Styela clava: one gene and its partners. The protein of the gene in region 2 purifies or fractionates together with the protein of the main gene of each other region. This does not show direct contact. Links are inferred from orthologs where the notes say so. Each region holds a gene or a part of one and is shown on either strand. Other genes may lie near its edges.

Region 1 (7,803 bases), on a different chromosome or scaffold from region 2:
ACCATATCGTCCGTAGAGGGCAACATAAAGCATAAAATTACACATTCATTTTGAATATTTATTTGACTCATATATGGTGAACACACAGCAGTACAAATCTACATATAAGAATGGTCAAAATTGAATTTTGAATACATTATGAAATATTATCTGTGGCTGTTTATGACAAATAAAAATAAATATTTTTCACAATGGGACGTATTTATAAAAACATATACAGAAATTGAATTTGATAATACTGAATATTGTCGATCCATGCGTTTCCGAAATAGGAAGGGATTTTGCATTGTATTTGTGTTACCAATATTTTTAGTTCTTTATTATTGCTATAATACCTGTTTATGCACACATATAAAAACTAAATAATTTCTGACCAACCGATTTCAAATACTTTAACTCTTTACTCTATAACTCAGCAATTTTATTCTCAAACTCGATCGATGCCAATTTGTGTTAATCATATCGAATAAATAACTAGTTGTTAGAAGGGGATCAGGGATTGGTCGAAGCCATTGCTTTTCTATTACAAATACATTCTGATATTTCATTTCCTGGGTATGAAATATCAAATATATCTGAAATATTGCACATCCCTTTATTTTTTACCTCATTTGGAACAAACTATTTGGAATTTGAAATGTTTGAAGGCTACAATACTGAAATTTGGGAATAATACCAACATTTCCACTCTCAAATACCTGATAGCTTCACAATACTCCACCAATTACATACCAAGTATGGGCCAAGTATGTATTGATAATTGCCTAAAAATCCAATATAATTGCATTCTCGACATGTTATTAGTTTATTGACTTCCCTGAGACAAGCACAAGACAAAATGTATCAATTACTAGACAGTAACGCCAGTAAATGTATTGAAATATTGATTGCTCGAACTCTGGGGAATTGTGCATATATATTGCAAAATATTTTGAATGTAAAATATGGTGAACGAATCTGCAGATAATATTACTCTCTAGCTGAAATGTCTAAACAACTGGTTCTCAAACAGTGGTTCATGGCCCACTTCTGGGCCATAGCAACATTTCCAAGTGGGGCACAAACCCGTTAAAAACTGCTAGAGTTATTGATAAATACCGTTTCATTTGCGTCACTATAGTTAAATTTTGATTGTAGCAGCAATGAATGCTGATGCTGTATTTCGCTACTGAGGGGTAATTTTCATTCTGATTAGTAAAGTGAAAGTATTTTCTTGAAAGTATTTATTTGTATTTTATCTTTTGCGTGATAAAATTTAATGGGCCACGAAATATTTGTGCAACAAAAATGGGCCACGAAAGAAGAAAGGTTGAGAACTACTGGTCGAAGCGGATAGCGGATATTTACGCGTTCAATAAAATATATTTTTGAATCTGATTAAAATTTTATTACAGCAAGTAACATCTGACCGAGACCAAAAAATTCTAAGGCGCACCCCACCTCACTTGGGGTGCAATAAATTTAAATAGATGACAGTGGCTCCTTGTATAGGACCTTGTTGGAAATGAGAGTCATGAATATGTGTAGTATAAAAAAAAAGTGCCTGCACTTCAAACAAACTAATTCAGATTATATTCAATATTCAAAATTAATGTTTTAGAATGAATTAGGAATTGTAAGCTATATTCGTCATCATGGCTAACAATAGCTAAAAAAACCTAAACTAATTTCAACTAACCTGTCTCCAATTCCACTCTTAACCCAGCTTATGACAGCTTCGAAAACTTTTTCCTCTGACGCCACGGACAAACGATCGCTGTTAATGAGATCGCATACTTGTTCGCAAGACAAATTGTGAAACTCTTCACCTGTGAATTCAAAAACAATTTATCAGGAAGGCCTAAAAGAAATCAAACATCAAAATCCATCTGAGATTAAGTATATTCAATAACAGTGGTTCTCAAACATTTTAAGCCGTGCCCCCCTTTTGTCAAGTCGCGCACCCCACCTCAAAAATAACTAGCTAACATTTAGCTGCAAATAAAAGATAGTAAGAAGAAAGTATGCTTTATTCACAAAAACATGTTGAAAATAAGTGGATGGAGCGTAAATAATGAAATAAATGAAACGTTTTTAGTATGTTTTCGCATGCTTTATCAAGATTTGGAAAGAATGCGGGATTTCCATTTTGAATTCTCTGAAATAAGGCCGGCAAGATCAAATCTAACAAATATTTTTTATTTAGCTTCACCTCCTCTCAAAAATTGTCTACGATCAACCCCCTTATGGGATGCACCACATCGTTTGAGAACCACTGTTCTACTTGGAGAATGACTCCCGACTCCTACCAAACACTTTCCACTATCAACTGACCGTGTACGACATCAGTGAAATGTTGTTCTGTGAACGACTTTGCTTGATCATGTAGATCAGTGCAAGCATGGATATCCGCAAACTGACGAATTCCAAGACAATTTGTGGGGTGTAATTGTGATTGGAGAAAGAAACAACATGACTCTCGAACGTAGGTTAGTTCCAATAAACTTGCAGCAGGAAGGAGATTCTGGACGTTTTCTTCTGTAATTTCAATTTGAGCAGTGTAGACATATTCCACAAGCTCTTTCAAAGCGTCACCATTTATTCCGTTTAATTTTACACGATCGGCTCGACACTCAGACATTTTTCCACCAAACATAGCCATAAAATAGGGAGAAACTGAAGCCATTATTAGTTTATGAACTGGGACTTCTGCTCCCTCGGCAACAAGAAGAACATCACACATAACCCGATTTTTGCGGAGTTGATTCATCAAAGAAAATGCTTCTTTCGAGTGCACATCATTATGAAATTGCTGCCCGTTACTCGGAACACGACCAGTGGCGTCGCAAACTGCTGCGGCTGTGCTTTCGCTGCACGATTCAAGCTCATTACCGAGGAAATTCATCATTTTGAACTTTGTTAAATTGATAAGTTGAATGGGAACAATATAATTTTGACTGAAAAAGGAACTGTGAAGAATCTATGTCTAAATTATTTTACCAAACTGTAGTTAAAAAATATTATTGATTATGAAGCTATAAATTAGTTCTCGATTCCAACAACCAGACAACTGAACAAGAGTCTTGTAAATTAAACGCTGTACAGCCGCAACTGCATACTGTAAATCATGCTAAACAAAAATGTGATGTGAAAATACAACCCAAATATCTGCTAAAAATGAAAAAAAAATATAAAAGTTTGTCTTGCGCAAACACATTACAATAAACGGCACTGACATACCTGCCTAGTTCTGTAGTTGAAAATTGAGTACCGGTAGGCTGCGAGGCTTGATTTGAAATAAAGGCTTTTTTCTTTCTTCGTCATAACGCTGTACCGGTACCGGCACAAACTTTTGTGGTAATTACATTAAAATGGCATGTCACATTTTAGTTTGGCATTGTTTGAGCAGTTACCGGTACGGCGTTCACTTCACTAAACCCCAGCCAGAACAATGCCCAGCCTGCCAGATGCCCCTGCAAGCTGCAACCCTGATATTTCACCAAAGTTACTCTAGCCCACAATTTCCCAGGGCTGACGGCTAACTCGCCATGGGGGCTAACTCGCCATGCGACGGCGGTTAACGGGTTAGCCTGCAATTGTGCGGAGGCTCTTCTTGTAATGGGAGATGGAAAGGTGGCTGTTTATACTAACAACTTCAATAATAAGGATAAATATATCAAAATAAATGTGTTTGGTTACAATACCTACTATGCAAATGGTAACAACGTGACAAGAAAACGCTTATATATCGGAAGGCATACCGGTACCGGTACCGTACGGTACCGGTACTCGACGCGCAAAGGATGTCTCAACTTATCATTTTCATCTAAGCATGCTAAATATATCATCATATTAATTGATTGTATGAGCACTAAATCAACAACAACGCTAAATATATCAAAAGTTCTATTTGGCTACCGGCAGTCTCATTTTATTCTAACAGCGGCGGTGTGGCTCAACGGGCTAAGCGTTAGGAATACGCTCGCCACCGCACCTCTAATTACTCTGCGTGGGTTCGCAGGTTCGAATCCCATGCAGGGATGGTTATGTGCGAGAGGATTGCTGGACTCCTCGCCGTCGTTGGGTGGTTCACGTAACCGCTGGTCGGTTACGGCTTCCTCCACCACCAAGTCCATGCTTCCGAAAAACAAACAATACAGTAAAAACTAATCCCATACCCGACTTGGAATGGTAACCGGACGAGAGGCCGTGGTTCGCCATATGGATAAGCCGTCTTATCGGCTTTCCTCTCCCCCGGGATAAATATGTAAATCCTATCCTATCCTATCCTAACAGTCGTTGATTGCGAGCAGAGAGGGAGAGAGAGAGCTAACTCGCCATGTCTATTTTCTTTATAATTGACGATCGACATAAATTTATCCAATGACATTAAACAACATGATGGGCAACTCTGACGTCACTCCATACGACTACAGGCTAAAGATTGTATTTCATGATACGCTCCAATGCACATAGTTATCGTCTCCTTTCGCGACCGTTTTCCGTTCGCTTTTGCTACCTGGCGCCTTTTTTACCTGTAGTATCTGCCTTCTTGCGTCTGTGACGAAAGAAAATAATCATTATATCTAAGAAGTTTTGCTCACTTGGAAAGCTGGAATGGCAGACAAGCTAGCTGTAAAGAGTAATTCTGGACATCATAGACGTTTTTTTTTTATCAGAGAAGATTACAAACACGATACTGTAAAGATTTGTGTGGAACATTTTGCAGATAATGACAAAGTTCAAAGATAGTAATTTTAATGTTTGCGCTTAAACATTGAAATTTCATTTAAAGAGGGTGTCATACAAAACAGCAAAACTGTTTTTACTTCTTTTAACGGTGCTGTGATACAATTCCATAACACAGAGTTTGCACCTATCGAACTTGCTTTAGTTGGTGAATTTATTAGACATATTACATATTCAGTTAATCGTGGGTAACATTGCTGGTACATAATGCCCCGTAGATTGGTTTGTTTAAATTTAGGAATTTATCTCATAGCCCACTATTTAATATTATCTTCTATGCAGGAGGTTCAGGGCTGATTCAACTTTCAGCCTTACCGATCACCTGACGATGCTCATTTAGTTTGGCTCGAGTAAGTCTTCTTGAAAGACTTGTGTGGATGGAAACTACCTATATATGTTTTGCCTTCCTCCGATTTTAGAAGACAAATTTATTCTGGGGGATTTTGCATATAATTCTCATTGATTGTTGGCTGTTTATAATTCCTATTAATTGTGAATTCTGATTATAACAAAGAGTTAAAAAAAATTTCACGTAATTTACTGGCACCTTTTTCTTGTCAATACTCAAAGCTGAGGTAATAAACAAGACAATACATTTATGTCATCTGGAAACTAAATATGCACACTAATTAATAGTTTGACACATTGAGATAATACATCATGACAGAACATACAAGTTGAAGATATGTATGACCATCACATGGTAATTGAAATAAAATTAATAGGGGCTGTGGAGTATAAAAGCTCAAAACAAAGAAAAGAACAAAAGTTCATAGCTCATGAACTCTCAATTTTGCCTCCATTGCTTTGTGAAGGCCAATATATTTCGAGTGGCTGAATTGGTTTACCTTTATGATAGCAACGATTTTGTATTTAATATAGCGAGATTTTTTTCAATTTAATTGAAGTGATATTATTTCCCAAAGCAATGCTTGAATCGTCTGGAATAGATCAGTGGTGTCAAACTCATTGATTTTTGAGAGCCGCATTGCATTTTGGAAATTGTAAAAAGGGCCGCAAACAGTTTTTGATAATGTATAATTGAAAGATATTTTTAAGATAGTTTTAGTTTGTGACATATATTGTGATGCAACTAAACAGTTGGATTAAGTTTTATTATTTTCTTTAATTTCAAATGCAATTACATATTAATATTTGCATTCCACTATTATTGCAAGTTAATGTATTTGTTATAAAAAATCCTAAAATTCTATGTACAACCATCAAAATCATTTTTGAACAAGCTTTGGATAAGAAAAAAATAATACATACACTAAAAATGACTTAATCTAAATATATGGACCTAAAATTAAAAATAATACTACAGTATAAATTCAATGTTTTTTTAATTGCATTTGCCCTGACGTTTGGCAGCTTTTTTGTGTCACCAGCATATTAAGGCCAGGCTGAAATGATTTTATAGTTCCAACTCTAACTAACGAGGTCACATGATCATGGGTTAATCTGGATCTTTGCGAATGTTTAATTAATTCCAGTAATGCAAAAAAGTTACTTTTATCATTTCATGTACAGATCAGTAAAAAAACAAATGACAGATTTTTTCGACAAGACATTTCGCGCCACATTGCGTGGCATAGGATTGCTTGAATTATTATTGATATTGATTTTTAGTAACTAGAACGTTGTATAATTATATTAAAATATATACAAACACATGGAAATTTTCTGTTCGAAGTTGGTCTTTGAATTTGTCATATTGACTGCTGAGGTTATTGTGTTTTTTCATTGTATTGATGGAAATATGACAAATTAAACAATGTGCTTCAGAATTTTGTGAAATGCAGAAATATTGCAACTCCCATTTTCTTCGAAAATGCCACCTTCTTCATGTACTTTGCGTTTAATTTAATTACTCAAGTGTTTTATTCAAGTATTCTTTTGCTAGCTTGATGTGTATTCTTAATTGGGCCAAAATGTTAACAAAAAATAAATTAATTGTTCAAAACTACTTTCAGTAAATTGTTTTCTGTGTGAATAATCAATTTTACTTTGAAAGGTTTGAAAAATCTATTACAGTTAGATAAAAAAAAAACTTCCAAAATACCATTACAATTATTGTTAAGCGTTCGAGGGCCGCAGTGGAAGTTCTCTGGGGCCGCGAGTTTGACATCCCTGGTCTAGATTGAAGTTGTCTAAAATATATATAACAGTATTTTATCATGAATCATGTTTTTCCCCTTACCTGAATTTCTTCTATAGTACTACATAAAGTTGATGAACCAAAGAACCATTTTCCAAAGCTGTTTTAAGTATGTCTGGCGTGTTTTGTGCCTTTTTACAAATAAGATCGCTTATGCAATCTTACACTTTGGAATTTTTAGTTATTTTCCTCAAGCTTTTCAGGATGTGGGGGCCATACACAACTCTACTAGAGGGTCAAATGTCTTTGCATGCCTCCATAGGTTGTTCTTCTATTGCAAACATTTATGGAGTACTCCAATTATATTTCTTGGAATCACACCGTCACTGATATCGCCAGACTTCTGATATCTCCCCTTCTGCTATAGTTGTCCTGTGAATAAATAATAGGAAATTGAGATTAGACGAATAGTTGAAAGTTTTGCTTTATGTCGGCTTAATTTATTGATTGATATACTTACTATTTTTGCTATTGCCTCTTGTGCTGCAGGAGTCTCACAATGCTTAGACAGGTTCGTCCACAACTTTCACATCTGAAGAAAGAGAGGAGATTTATTAATTTTCGTTAAGAATAAATAAAGCAGTCTATATGATTTAGAATGGAAAAGCTAATATATTCAATATCTCATGATTTATGTAAATATGTTTTACTGAATTTGGTATATAAACCAACTAATAAAGGGGTTTAGTCAGAAACTTACAAGCATTCGTGGCTCCAAATAATTGAGAGATCAGATTATACAATATAGACCGGTATGAGTGGAATTTTAGGTGAACTTGTTAATCCTTTGATTCAATACGCAAATAAAAGTGAATGCGCAATAGTATGTTACACCAATGAGTATATATCCTGACTGATTAAAAAAATCTAAATGGAGGTGCATGAACTATTTGGAACCATAAGGGTTAGGTAAA
Region 2 (7,397 bases):
TGATATAGTGATCTAGATTTTTGTAAAGCAAGAGAATTTTGAGAACCGGCCCAGTGTGTGTGTGTGCGATGCGCAGTGCGCAAGTTACAAGAGCGGATGAATCGAAACTGCAGTTTCTGTTTTGGGGGATCCCCTAACTATCGATAAGTCTTCGGTTTCCAGCCGATATTCTCGTTTTCGAATCGCTAAGATTAGGTACATAAAGCGGAAACCACCTTTGCAGGACTTCTTTTCATCGGGCAAGCGGCGGCACATTGAGTTTAGACCACTCTCGCTCCTGGCTTAATTGGTTTCCGGATATTTCTCTCTATTTCTTTTGCCTTCATTTTGTGATAAACATGTCATTCCTAATGCCCGCCCGGTGGCACATGATTAGCCATTTCATGCATGGTCACCATAACTTAAAAGTTATCGGTAATGACGTTTTTTTGAGAGAGAACAAGGAGAAAAAGGCAATTTAGAAAATGATAGTTCTATGAATAGAATCGATATGAAGCTGTTAAGTTAGTTATCATAGGAACTTGGTACAGGCAACTCAAAGCTGAAACAGGTGTTTTGGGACCCTTATGATGGCAATACCTTATTTCAATGGAATTTGTAATTTCTTATGATGGCAATACTGTATTATTCATCAATACACCAAGACAAATAATTGCACTCTTGATTTTTGATGGCTGTTTTACACTAACAATATTAAAGTCATCAAACTAGCTTCGAATTTGTTAAATGCAATTTTGAATTTGATCAACAGCTTTATCTATATTAATGGTTGTTATTATGTGAATAGGATTAAAATAGCATCTACAGGCTTTACATGTCCTAATAAAACTGAATCCATTAGAATTGAGATTGCAATTTTTACCCTTAACACTCAACAGTTTTCGAGACCCAAATTTTTGAGTCCTCAAATTTTTTTGACCAGTTCATACAAGCGTGTGATCTCCTTTCATAAATCTGAAAACATTGTATTGCAAAATACCAGCAGTAAGTAAGATGTAACTGCACATACGTCACCACAACATCGAAGGGCAGGCGTTTATTGTATAATAAAGACAGATTTAGGATTGCGCAATAATATTCGATTATTCGGTTCGATTCGGCGAAAATATTCGATTCGAATCAAAAACTTATTCGATTTTGGACAGCCCTGGTGATAGCATGAAAAAACGCTGCAAGAGCATTTTGCCGTAAAACAAGTAATTGTGATAAAAACAGTTAGATTTATAGGGTTAGGTTATGCTCTTAAATAAAGAATCTTTTTAAAATAAGAATACTTCAAAAACCTAACCGTTTTATCACAAATACTTGTTTTATAGCAAAATGCTCTCGCGGCGATTTATCATGCGGCAATTTTTCCCATGCGGCGAAATTTCCTGCAGTGAGATTTCCTACGGCGAAATTTCCTGTGGCGAATATTCCAAGAACAGTTATTTCTTAATTGAAAAAAATGGGAAAAATCTGATACAGATTATTAGTTGCAAAAAACTGAAAACATACAATACCTTTTGTGTTAAATGTTCCGTAACAACTTCTCTTAGCCCATTGTATAATTTTTCACCATATTTGTGCAGAACCATAGTATAGGCATTTCTGTATAACTCCTCAAAACTGAGCCCGCTGTTATTTTTCTTTTGAATTTCTTGAATCGCATTTTTGAGCAGTTCCCAAATATTGGCAACATACTTTTCATCCATAGTCATCTGATAAAAAAGTTTCTACGCTCAGCAATAAAATCATATTCAAAAAATTCTGTATAGTCTTAACACAGATTAAAATTTGCCTATACAGTGATACCAAAAATTAGTAAAGATTTCCAGTAGACCTGTTCAATTAAATATCATATAGGCTATTATATAAAATTCCAATATCATACTCACTCGGAAGTTAAAATGGATAGAAAAAATAGTTTCCATCCTTAGCCTATACTGTTAATCAAATTATACATTTTTCTCAAAGTAACAAACTGTTACAAAGGTCAGTTAAGCTTCCATTTCTCTAAGTTTTTCAAGTGGATCCACATTTACAGCACTGAAAACAGTGTCAAAACCTGTCCAACGCATCCAATTATGGATAAAATCTTCCCTAATGTGCATCCCAATCCCAATGTTATTGTAAAAATTTGGTTGCTGGGTAGTCTTGTGATGTCATAATAGTAATTCCAAGATGAAGTCACATGGCTTAAAAATATGATCCCAAAATCTAAATACTGCTATTTTATATACAAAGTTAAAAAAATGTAACAGAGTCATTTTGTCTCACCTTGGCTTAGAATAAATGATTTAGACAAAATTTGCATATAAAAAATAGCATGTTGGCTATGACCATACTTAATCGAATGGCATATCTGCATAAGTAGCAAATCTGAATTTGAGTATGAATTATGGAGCAAAAATTGTATTTTTTTTCTGGGGTTTATCACCATAAAATCCAGCCCTCCTTGAGTTTAAAATGTATTTACTTTGTTACACAATAAATCAGTTTGAAATCAGACAGTATTACAAATAAATTTCAGAAAAGAGTTGGTACGTAAATCACTTAACTACTTTTAAAATACAATGCTAATAAAAATGCTATAAATTTTATACCACGGGCAAAATTCTTGATATTTATGCAAATGGTGAAATATAATCGTTGCTAAATATTTATCTTATCAAAAAAATGAATAATATAAAGCTACGGTTGCTTTTGTGGTGTGTGCAGTCAAAGCAAGTTAACATAATTCATTGAATTTAAATGTGTTGTAACTGTGAACTTATTTATAGAATTCTCATAGAAGATCAGGCTACTAATGATCGACTAACCTAGACATTATCAAGATAAAAACAACTAGTACCAGAGCAGTTGTTCATTCAGAATACTAACCGGAAAAGCCCGAATCCTCATTTTTGAGTCTTTTTTCGTTTGAAGTCGTGAATTCATGATGGCTGTCTTCTTATTTTACAAATCTGATGATTACTAGTCTCTTGGATGATAAAATTTTCAACTGACTGGTCTAACAGTAGACATTCTAATATATTAAAAAAATTTTATTAGCATTTTTTTTTTCAATTTTATCATATCCCCATACATTGTGTGGACTCCCAACTGACAAATAAGTCAGTGAAAAATGTTACCTCCATATTCGGCTCTCATAGCCAATTGATTGTCAACTTCACTTAACTAATATCATGCTAACACCTTAATACTGTAATATTCACACCATAGATCAGCCATATGATATATCAGCGCCAATATGTTACCACAAATCAATTTCCTTGTTATGTTAATGAATATATTAACTACATTCAATTGAAAAGTTTTAGCATTGCGTTTTCGATTTTGTTTCTTAAAAAAGATCAACAGATTCCAATGCTTTGTTTCAAAAAGCAGAATTGAAGCATTTTTGACACACTTCATAAGGCTGTAATGATGTTAACAGATATCAAAATGCAGAAATGTTCACTTCAAAAATTATATTGACCATAAAACCATTGGCAGATTGATGAAAAAATTGAACTCAAACAACTCTTCCTTATTCATAGGAAGACAAAACCGTGGGGGGAATAAATAAAATATCACAGGATTGAGCTCAATATCTCTTTATTTTTCTAATACTACGATACCAAGTTACAGAGTTATCTGAAACTTGAGCTTTTTATAAAAATGTTCCTTCGTTGGCAAATTTTCAGAGTATTTGTGGTTTTTATATTTTATTTTATGCTGTAAATTTCGATCTTTGCTGTTTTTGATCTATTTTCGCTGAGATTTCATAGAACAGTAGAAGGGAATATGGCGAGTGTTTGATTGTGTGATCAAACACAAGTCACTCATCTGGTATTGGACATATCGTACCGGTAATTGTTGCAAAGAACATTGCGGTTTTATGTTGAGACTTCATAAAACAGTATAAAAGTATATCTGTATATGGTAATTGATTGATTGTGTGAACAAAATCTATTCAATTTTCCCAGTTGCAATTATTAATTAAGTTATTCTGTTATTGAACATTAGGATAGGATTTACATATTTATCCCGGGGGCATTATGGCTGCACACTGCCTAAATTCAGAAATTATGAACGACTAGTGCAGTGGCGTATTCAGACTTTTACACTTATTTCTGCATTTTATAGCCTAGTAGAGTCCATGGACAGACTGAAATACCGTCAGACCGTACCGGTACTCTTGTGATAGTGCAGTACCGGTACCAAAACCAGGGTACTGTACCGGTACCGTTATGGTAACAAACACTAAAAGGGCTCAAGTCAGCCATAATGTAAATGTAGCTAACAGTCCGGTCTGCCGGTGATGATACTGGTAGTCACCATCTGGATAAGAAATCCTATTCTTGATCTAGCTAGACATAGACTAATGACTTACAGACGTACCGGTACGGTACTGTGGTACCGTATCTTTGTAACAGACCGATTAGGATATTCTGACATTATTACTGTATTAGGATAAGATAGGATTTACATATTTATCCCGGGGGAGAGAAAAGCCGATAAGACGGCTTATCCATATGGCGAACCACGGCCTCTCGTCCGGTTACCATTCCAAGTCGGGCATGGGATTAGTTATATTGTTTGTTTTTCGGAAGCACGGACTTGGATTAACATTTTCAGATTTTGCTCCTGGTACCGGTACGGTACCGGCAGTTAAAAAATTAAAGTTCGTCCTCTAAACGGTAGGTGCGGTACGTGGGTACGGTAACGGATTGTTGCCTACAGGTTTAGGCTTGAGCAGTTCTGCAGTTACGGTACCGGTATGACACCGAACGGCGCAAATAATAGAATACGGAACAGTGGAACCAAACTTCGAGTGGAACGAAGGAGCGTCAGCTGATATCATGAAATGAACTGAGATAGAGATGTACCGTTCATCCATTGGATGGCTCCCAAGATCAATAAACATGTCAAAAATTACGGTACAGTACATTTTTGCTGTGTCTAAAAAGAAATGTCTCATGATTGAGGATCCCGCTGTTGCATCTCCTGGCAATTCCCACAATCCTTGGTCGGTATCATGTGAGTTTGAGCTTTGCACGAGCAGTCCTTTAATCTGAGGGGAGGCCAATGAACTATTTGAATAAATAATATTATATGAGTAATATTTGTAGCTATCTGACCAACCCCGTGCAACTCCGGAAATTTGGTCCCGGTGCTGAATTCGCCGTCAAGCTCGACTTGGTTCTCTAACAGATTATTGCCTTGAAAATCATCGTGTGACGTTCTGCGTTTTTCTGTGTTCTGGAATATTACATGGAATGGAATGTTACACGATATACTTTACTATAGAACTGATTGAATGCAGATTGCAAAACAAAATAGAAGAACAATCAATTGAATGGGAAGAAACTAGTATTTTGGATTTCTGCCCATTGACAAATCACCCTTGCCTACTATGTCTCTTTAACTAATATCCCGAAATGAAACGAATAGATTTCTCCCAAAGTGATTTAATCCAGATATCAGTAAGACAAAGTGATCTGACAAACAATAAAGATGAATATTAAAATGAGTACAGACAATCAGGCACAATACAAAGCAAGAATATACCAATTCACTTACATTTAAATGAGGCTTTGTCAGAACAGATTATCCCAATGTAAGAAACTTAAGAAATAGATTATTCATATCCAATGACTATAGCACCATTAACAAGCTTATGAGAACAGATCTAAAGACAGACTAAAGCTCTAGACAGTTAACCATAACAAGAAGTAATCAAGTAATCAGCTAATAATCGCGATGCAGTGAACCATACGTAAACACACCAAAAGTAAGTAGTACCAAGATAAATCAGTCAAATGTTCAAACCACCCCCCCAGTCTATGAATGCAATGAAAAAGACGAAAATATTGAACATTGTTGACTCGGAGTAACTGATATGAGATTAGATGCCTTTCAACTCACATTGTAGCTCTTCTTTGGTCGCAATTAGACAAAGTTTATGTATTGGTCGATTGTATAAATTCCCATCGCTGTCTTTGATTGTAACACTTCTCACTAAGCCATCTGAACTGGGCATAATGTTGTGAACCAGTGCTTTTTTCCATAAACCTCTGGGTGCACTTCCGCCTTTAAATCCAGGTTGAAGAATTGATACGTAATCTCCAACTTGAAGATTGCGTCTTGTTCGAAACCATTTGTTAGCAAGTAATAGCTGAGGCGGTATGTGTTTCATCCATGTTTTCCAGAACACCTCAACTCTGTTTTCCGCCACTTTTAGCATGTCTCGTGGATTGAATCTCTCTTCTTGTGTAGTTTGAGGGACTATCTGCTTTGCATATGGATGTAAAAGAGTATTGCCAGTAATACAATTATATTCCAAAGGGTTTCCATCTGGGAAAAGTGGTCGACTATTGATGATATAAGTAATTTCGTTGAGAACAGTTGTCCATTCTTCGTAGGTCATAAGAGCCCTGCTGTAATTCACCACTGGTGCATCGAGTGCTTTGCGAACCGAGTTGATAAGCGATTCTACTACTCCATTCATATGTGACGCGTAAGGCACATTATATTTCCAATCAAATTTCGTTTGATTCTCTGCCATCTCATGTTGAATCAACTGAAAATTCCATTTCTCGATCTATTCCTTGATAGGCGCTTGACTAGCTTGAAATGTAGTACCTCCGTCGGAAAATACAAATGCAGGATGAATTCCCCTTATATATAGATACAAATCGTCTCCATGCCCGAAGGAACGAATTAGTATCCAGAGCCAGACACAGTTCCAGATGAATACAACAAGTGGTTGCACATGTAATAATTAAAACAGACGCGTTGATAACTACATTTCGAGATTGCTTTACTTTCAAGTATCCGAAAAAATCCATTGCTACAGAATTGAATGGTGCCATCTGTGGTTGCATTCGAAATGAAGGAAGTTCTCCCATGCTTTGCTGTAGCAACTTTCTACGACGAATTCTGCAAAATATACACATTGATGCTATTGATTTTAAAAGTATTCTTCCACCAATAAGAACAATACCGTCATTCTTCATATTTGCCAATATAACTCGATACCCTTGATGTAAGAACTTTTTATGATAGAACACTCCAAGAAGACGAACGAGGGAATGTTTGCCCGGAAGTACGACTGGATGCTTCATTTCCATATATAAATCAGTTCTATTCAGTCTTCCACCAATACGAAGAATTCCGTGAGAATCGAATAACAAGTTTAATTTCCATAGAGTTTTGACATCCTTCCCAAATTCATCAATCATAGATTTTTGACAAATTCTGAATATACATAATTTTGCTTTCTCTATGTATTGTACGACATCGGCAGGTTTAAATTCCAAATTGACAAATGATTTTTGCTGAAATGCACCCTTCATCCAAGCTGTCGCTCTTAGCAAGTCTTGCCTTGAAGAAAAATTATCCGCTAAATCATTATCATTTTGATAAGGCAA
Region 3 (6,863 bases), on a different chromosome or scaffold from region 2:
GGAGTCCAGCAATCCTCTCGCTCATAACTGTCCCCGCATGGGATTGGAAGTTGCGAACCCACGCAGTCCAATCAGAGATGCGGTAGCGAGCGTATTGCTAACGCTTAGCACGATGTTGTTTGCAGAACAAACTGGCAAATTAGGATCATGCTTTATTTTTAAAATGTGTAATTTGACTTTATCCCACAGACTCACTTGCACATTATCCGAGTAGCAATTTCATGATTACCACCTCAATTTGATATAACATAATTTTTGACTATTTTTATAACTAAACAAAGTATTGTTACTTGTTAGGTAACATTACATACCATAGTTTATAATGTATAATACATGTTCTATTTGTTTATACTATATCTGTGAAAGTGTAGTGGTTGGTAACAGCATTGGATTTAACTGTTTATAACGGAGGTATAAAACTTTGTGTTTGAATTCAATGACCGTAGTAGCTATGTACCATCCCCGGTATTCTTGTAGTGCGTGTACCAGGTTAGGCCATAATTTTATTCCAATTTTCTTTATTTTAGTTCTATTACGAGTTCTGGACTGTCTGTTTTGGCCAAGTGAATACACCCCCTGCCCCAAGGATTCAGTCCCTTTACACAACTTGATGTAAAGTAGGCAAACAAAATTAGTTACCTCCATATTGGTACACATACTTCTGGAGCGCACTATACCATACTGATCCAGTGAAAAACAAAGCATTTTCTTACATATATAAGTGTCTGCCCATCTAGAGACTTGATCATGGAAAATAATTCACAACAGCGAAATAGAAATAAATTTACTTGGACAACTTTGAGATCCCTGTCCATCATCCTTTCTTTAATGAGTCTGATAAGTTCAGCAATGTTATAAAATTCTGCTTCTTCTAATACACCTATAAAAAAATTTAGTAGTCAAAAATGAGATAAGTCCATATATGAATCGCTGGTTATACCAGATTTTTATTGGGCAATTTAGAGCTGAAAATATACAAAACTTAGCGATAAAATTAAATTAAGACAATGCTATTGGACATTTGCAAGAGGTATAATAACCTAACCACATGCATGAAAAATACTCATATCAAACAGATGGTTATGCAATTATAAAGATTATTTCCATATTTTGAATAACTCTCAATATCTAAATGAATTCTAGTATTCAAATTTTAGCATAAATATGATTCATACAATTCCTATTCAAAATGCAATAGTCTGAGTGTCCATTGTTGAATCGAAGTCCATAAATTAAAGATCATTGCAGATGGTGTTTTTACATAAAGCTGGAAAGGTATTATAGATGAAAAATAACATATTTGTATGCATATGAGAGAAGAAAAATGCGTATAGTACTCTACCTTCCTCTGCAAGGTCTTTATTGATCACTAGTTTTCCGTGTCGTAAATAATTCAGGACGGGACCAAAATAGGTCGGGTCTCGGTCAATCAAGTATGCCCCTGTTTCATCCTAAATAAAAAAGAGTTTAATGTTAAATTGAGCATTGACAAGGGTATTCATTTGCCTTGCATACTGGTGCTTTACATAAAAATTAAACAATGAGACAGACTTGTGAAAGTCAAGTGGACTAATGGATACATTACAATCGGTAAATCTCGTAAAATATTCCTCAGGGAACTCTTAAAAACATAACATACTCTATTCCCATATGAATAAGATTTATTAATATACATTAGAAATGCTGACCAATAAACTGGCAAAAATAATAGTTTAAAATAAATAGTCCAATCTTTTCAATACTGATTTAAATGGAGCTGAAATGTTGAGTGAATGGAATATATATATAAATTTAAATATTTGAACATTATAATAATTTTCAATTAGTTATTCTAAGAAATTGATGTTCGACTTCAGACCAATCTAGGCTAATTCTATATCTGTATTGTACTGTAGAAAACCTGCAAAACTTCCACTATAAAAATCAATCACTAATACTATACCAAAATCACATATTTTAGAATATATATTCGGCATTCCATATTTAGAATAAAGTATCAGAATGTACAAAGGATAGTCAATTCCGCAAACCACTTGCGGAAGAGGTGAAGAAATATAAACCACCTGAATAAAATGGAAGTTTTTTCTATGAATAACAGGATATAATTTCTATCTGAAATAATATTCAGCAATAGCGAAGGATGGGATCATATAATATATGTAATCAATTTGACCCACAAACCACTGAAATAAATATTTTATAAAGTGAAACTGACCTTCTAGTACAGGAGTCAGAATGATCTAATATACTTCATTTACTCCAAAGGAATAGTTAGAATAATGGCAAAAACCAAACGATCTATCATTTCGAATACCTCTCCAAACAATACTTTTGGAGTGCAGAAATAATAAATATTACGAAAGTGCAGAACAGTTATGATATCAATGATTTGATTGGTAGCCTACTCTATTTTACAGCCAATAGAAGTTAAATAAAAGCCTTTCTAATTATACTAGGAGACCTAATCTGCCCAAATCAAAACTAGCCTATTCAAATATCAAAAATATCGAACATAATAAATTTTGAATGTTTTCAAGTATCCAATTCATGATTGTTACAATCAAAAAAGGAAATGATATAACAAACCTTATCAGAATCTATATCTGGATCCTCTTGACAAAGTCTGTAGAGAAAAGATTTTGGATATTTGCTTAATGTTGATAAAGTTGTGACAAAATGTTTTCCTCCGACATTCAATCGAATCCATCTGCTTTTTCCATTTCCATTTGTCATAATTCCATTGATGCACCTAGAGTCCGTACCTTCACTCAATTTGCTTGTAGATGAAATCATACTTTCTGAAGCTGGAGGTGGATCTGGTGCCATTCCCGGCAATTTCATTTTTTTTGCACATTCTACACCATTAGCTTCTGAAGATAAACTGCTTGTACCATTGGTACTACTACATTCTTCTTCCATTCGATTTTGTTCTTCACTTAAACTACTACTGGACATTTTAATTGATTTTATAGTGATAATATGCAATATAATTTACTGTAAGATGTAAGGATATATAGTTATGCGATAACAAGAAATCAAGATGTCGTAGTATCAAAATTCAGATTAATAAACCAAACTAATTTCATTTTGCTAATTTTCAATGTTACTTTACTTTGGATCACAATTTTTCAAAATGAGCCGCTAGGGGGCCACAAGCACGGTTTTCAAATACATGCATACCTGATGGAAACCCGCTAAAAACAAAACTTTATTTTATATTTTTCATTGAGGAACATGGGCCACAGAGTGTTGACAATCATTGAAAGGGCATAAATCATGAAATTCAGAGAACCACAGCTTTAGATGCTTTATAATACAAATGTCATTACATGAACTTTTATGCAAAATTTAATATTTCATGTTTAGAGATTGACTTACTATCATTCAGACTCTTCCACCACAAAAATAATGAAATGTCAGAATTATAACACTATTATTTTACACTCGATGAAATAATTCCCAGGTTAGAATAAGGTTAAATAAAACATAATTTAAAGCAGAAGAGACACTAAATTTTATATATAGATTTAAAATTTCATGAAATTAGAATTTAAAAGCTTATTTTCGAACTTTTATATAAATACCCGCATTATGTAACAAATCTAAAAAAATCACTTTAAAACAAAGAATATAGGAAATATATTAATGAAAATGAGCTGGACATACACGGATAAAATTACAGATTAATTATTTAGACATGTTCACTCATTAACTAATATTTTAATTTTTTATAATCAGGAACATCTTTTAATAAAGACTCAACACCTGTAACTTTGTTATATTCTATAAGAAAATCTTGGGTAGTTTTGCTTTTAACACTTTCAATCAGTCATTTCATGCTCCACATCTAAAATTTAAAAATCCGGCAGAAGGATAATAGCATTACAGCCAACAAATTGAACATTCATATTTCACAGTCAATTCACTTTAAATTATTATAGTCATTGTAAATGGCACTCAGCTCATGGCCAGCAGACTACTGCTCTATGCGCCCAAGCGGCGACAAAGGACTGGCTTGAGAAACCGGCTAGACAAGCCAAACACATCTGATTTAATTTAAAGAAAACCTTTCAACTGGCCATAAATATCAAAACAATTTGTTCCCGGTTTGTCTTTCCTCAAATTGACCTGATAAGATATTCTTACCACATTCCCACTGCACTACATTTTCAAGCCTGAGACCTATTTAAAAAACAGGAATTTCAATATTCATTCAGCCAGAGTTTAGACAGAGGCTAGATTAAATCCATCTATGACTTGGTGATGGCGAGGAATAATTTGATTTCTAACATAAAGTCTACAAAAATCAATCACATATTAATTACCTGTCATACATTAAACCTGCAAACAAGTATAAAAAAACGAACAATGCCATGTTTGATTAATTGTCACAACAGAAATGTATTGTTACCAGCTAACAAATTGACACTATAACTTTGTGACGAGGTAGCAGTAGAGGAGAGTTATTTATAATTAGGTCGTGCACAATAATCATTCAGTTCATAATTACATCAAAATGATGTAACTCTTCATTAATTAAAGCTATTCTTCATTAATTAAAGCTATGAAACGTCATTGATTGTAAAAAGTTCAATGGGTTAATTAAGGTTAAAAAAGACCAAATTTAGACAGAATTTTATCACTGCAATGTATATCATATTAAGCCATAAAGGTCAATATAGATTTGTTCAGTTAGATAAGACTATAATCAATAAGTTACTCAAACATGATAAAATTATAGCATATGTATATGTCTTAGTTAACTGAAATCAGACTACAGAAAATATTTTGTGATTAAAAGTTTTTAGTTTGTAAATGCTATCAGCAATCAAACCAACACTTTCTAGCTATTTGAAAACCTATAAAGTGCCCAGTAAATCAGTGTTTCCTATGGGTCGTGACTTACATCAAAATTTTGGATAGAATAAAAAAAGCAATGGGTTTACTAAGCATTTTCAACAGGCAATTGAAGAACTGTTGCATATGACAAAGTTTTTATGGTCAAAATTTGGTTTTCTGGAGTTAGAAGCTACTGAGCTAGAGTTAAAATTTCCTCCAACCCTGAGTCAAGAATAAAGATTTGAACTCAAAATTGCCATTCACTCGAAGTCGTTTATGCAATGGTTCATATATAGTACCGTTAATGTGGTAATTAAAATTAAGTTTTCTTTTCGACTCCACAGCTTGACAGCATTGCCTAAAAGTCTCGTCCAAGAATTGTAAAAATTTCTCTATACGTCATAAATTATAAATAGAATATTGAATCCTGTGTCACTGTGGAATACATGTTTGATCGGTAACATACCGTACTACTGAACTACACTGCTACTGCTATATGAGCAACGTCAGTAAAATTTAGAGTAAAAATAGTAAGATCCAATGATATGGTTACAGCAATACTGATGAATATGGTACCAGCAATTCTTTTAAACATGTTGAAAGATTCCAATATTACAAAATCCATGTATCAGTTAATGTTACTGCTCAGCCGCTACGATAATTTTGTATATACTGCAGGTACTGCATACTGGCAGGCCACCAGAGTTACCCCAGCCCAACGGCCGGCAACCAACCTGCCTAATGTTAAACAAGTTCATGGAAGCCATCTTATGCCATATTTGGGAAACGCGAAACAATGGAGTCTTATGGGAAATTTTCGTTGTGTTGTTGTACCGAATCGAATAAGTCCGCTGTTATAAGGGCTAGAATGAAACTGAAGGGTGGATTTTGAACTTTAAGATATATGCTATTTAAATATATATTGCAATTAAGAATAAAAAACTATCTAATGCGTTAAATTTGACCCCAAACACAGCGTAGAACCATTTTTGGTCCTTTTTTCGAAGATTTTATAGTGATACGCTAATTTGAGGCAGTAAAATGTCTCCGCAACAATCCTAAAATGTCATTTGTTCTTCTAGCGCAGCTTGGAGCCGAGCAGTAAGGCATTATGGAGCTTGACAGATGAAAAATGTTAACCAGAAAATAGAAACGGCCATTGAAGCAGAGTTGGGTCGGCCAGTAATTTCGACGAATAAATACAACTTTTCATCTGTGACGTCATAAGGAACGCCATTGTCAAATAGTTAATTATGACGATTAGAATAGCCAATTTACTTCGGAGGCAACTCGGAACCGGTATACTTGTCTTCAAAGACAATTTAATGTACTATAAATGTAATTTGGCCAACATGAAAGGATATAAGCATGTTCGGCTAAGATTCTACTTCAAAACGCCACCTTTAAATTTTTTTTACCTATAATATTAGTGAAAATAATAGGTATGTTTCAATAATTGTGTTGGAACTTCTCATAAGGCGCCCTGTTAAGTTGCCGAGAACAATAGGCACAAGATGGCGTCCATTGTCTGAGCGTTGCCTCGCTTATATTATATATACGCTTTGCCCCAGCCCACACTCAGCCTGCGGTCAACGGGTTAGTCGAATATAGGCAAGGAGTTAGGAGGAGTTAGTTAATAAAAACTTGGTTACTGTGATAATATATAGACCAAACCCGATATATCCAACGCAAATACAATACCAAGCACGGCCCAAATACCCCTAATATGGCCGAGTGTGGGCTGGCGTCACACAAGTGTGGGCTAGCGTCACACGAGTGTGGGCTGGCGTTCTGACAATGTTATACAATAAGTTAAGCCGAACAGTGTTGTGAACAGATTCAAACAGCAGAACTGACTGAAAACGACTAAAGTCTGAAAGTAACTCCTGAACTATGTCGCCGTAACTGATTAAATAACACCTAACTAAATCTGTAAATTGTGATGTGAAAGTTATAGCGCTTTTAATTACCAGGAGTACGGTACCGTAACGGCTCAAATAACACCCAACGAAAATGTGATGTGA

The links. The genes of interacting proteins can lie anywhere in the genome.
Region 1: the proteins of cullin-3-A-like (region 2) and kelch-like protein 3 purify together in Drosophila melanogaster (affinity purification with western blotting; 3 studies listed by BioGRID). This does not show direct contact. The link is inferred for Styela clava from reciprocal best matches to the Drosophila melanogaster genes Cul3 and kel.
Region 3: the proteins of cullin-3-A-like (region 2) and BTB/POZ domain-containing protein KCTD5-like purify together in Drosophila melanogaster (affinity purification with western blotting; 4 studies listed by BioGRID, with this or other methods). This does not show direct contact. The link is inferred for Styela clava from reciprocal best matches to the Drosophila melanogaster genes Cul3 and inc.

What each region holds. Positions count from the first base shown.
Region 1 is NC_135253.1:23,206,201-23,214,003, reverse strand, and holds the start of kelch-like protein 3, read right to left. Parts: upstream 3,004-7,803; 5' UTR 2,888-3,003; coding exon 2,314-2,887; intron 1,809-2,313; coding exon 1,679-1,808; intron 1-1,678. UniProt on the Drosophila melanogaster protein: Component of ring canals that regulates the flow of cytoplasm between cells. May be involved in the regulation of cytoplasm flow from nurse cells to the oocyte during oogenesis. Binds actin.
Region 2 is NC_135256.1:22,950,213-22,957,609, reverse strand, and holds the start of cullin-3-A-like, read right to left. Parts: upstream 3,003-7,397; 5' UTR 2,920-3,002; coding exon 2,863-2,919; intron 2,801-2,862; exon of another isoform or gene 1,914-2,800; coding exon of another isoform or gene 1,878-1,913; intron 1,701-1,877; coding exon 1,503-1,700; intron 1-1,502. Other genes in the region: uncharacterized protein LOC144425210, read right to left, coding at 5,873-6,532; uncharacterized protein LOC120328661, read right to left, coding at 6,591-7,397.
Region 3 is NC_135260.1:12,395,887-12,402,749, forward strand, and holds the start of BTB/POZ domain-containing protein KCTD5-like, read right to left. Parts: upstream 3,004-6,863; 5' UTR 2,956-3,003; coding exon 2,587-2,955; intron 1,452-2,586; coding exon 1,343-1,451; intron 881-1,342; coding exon 789-880; intron 1-788.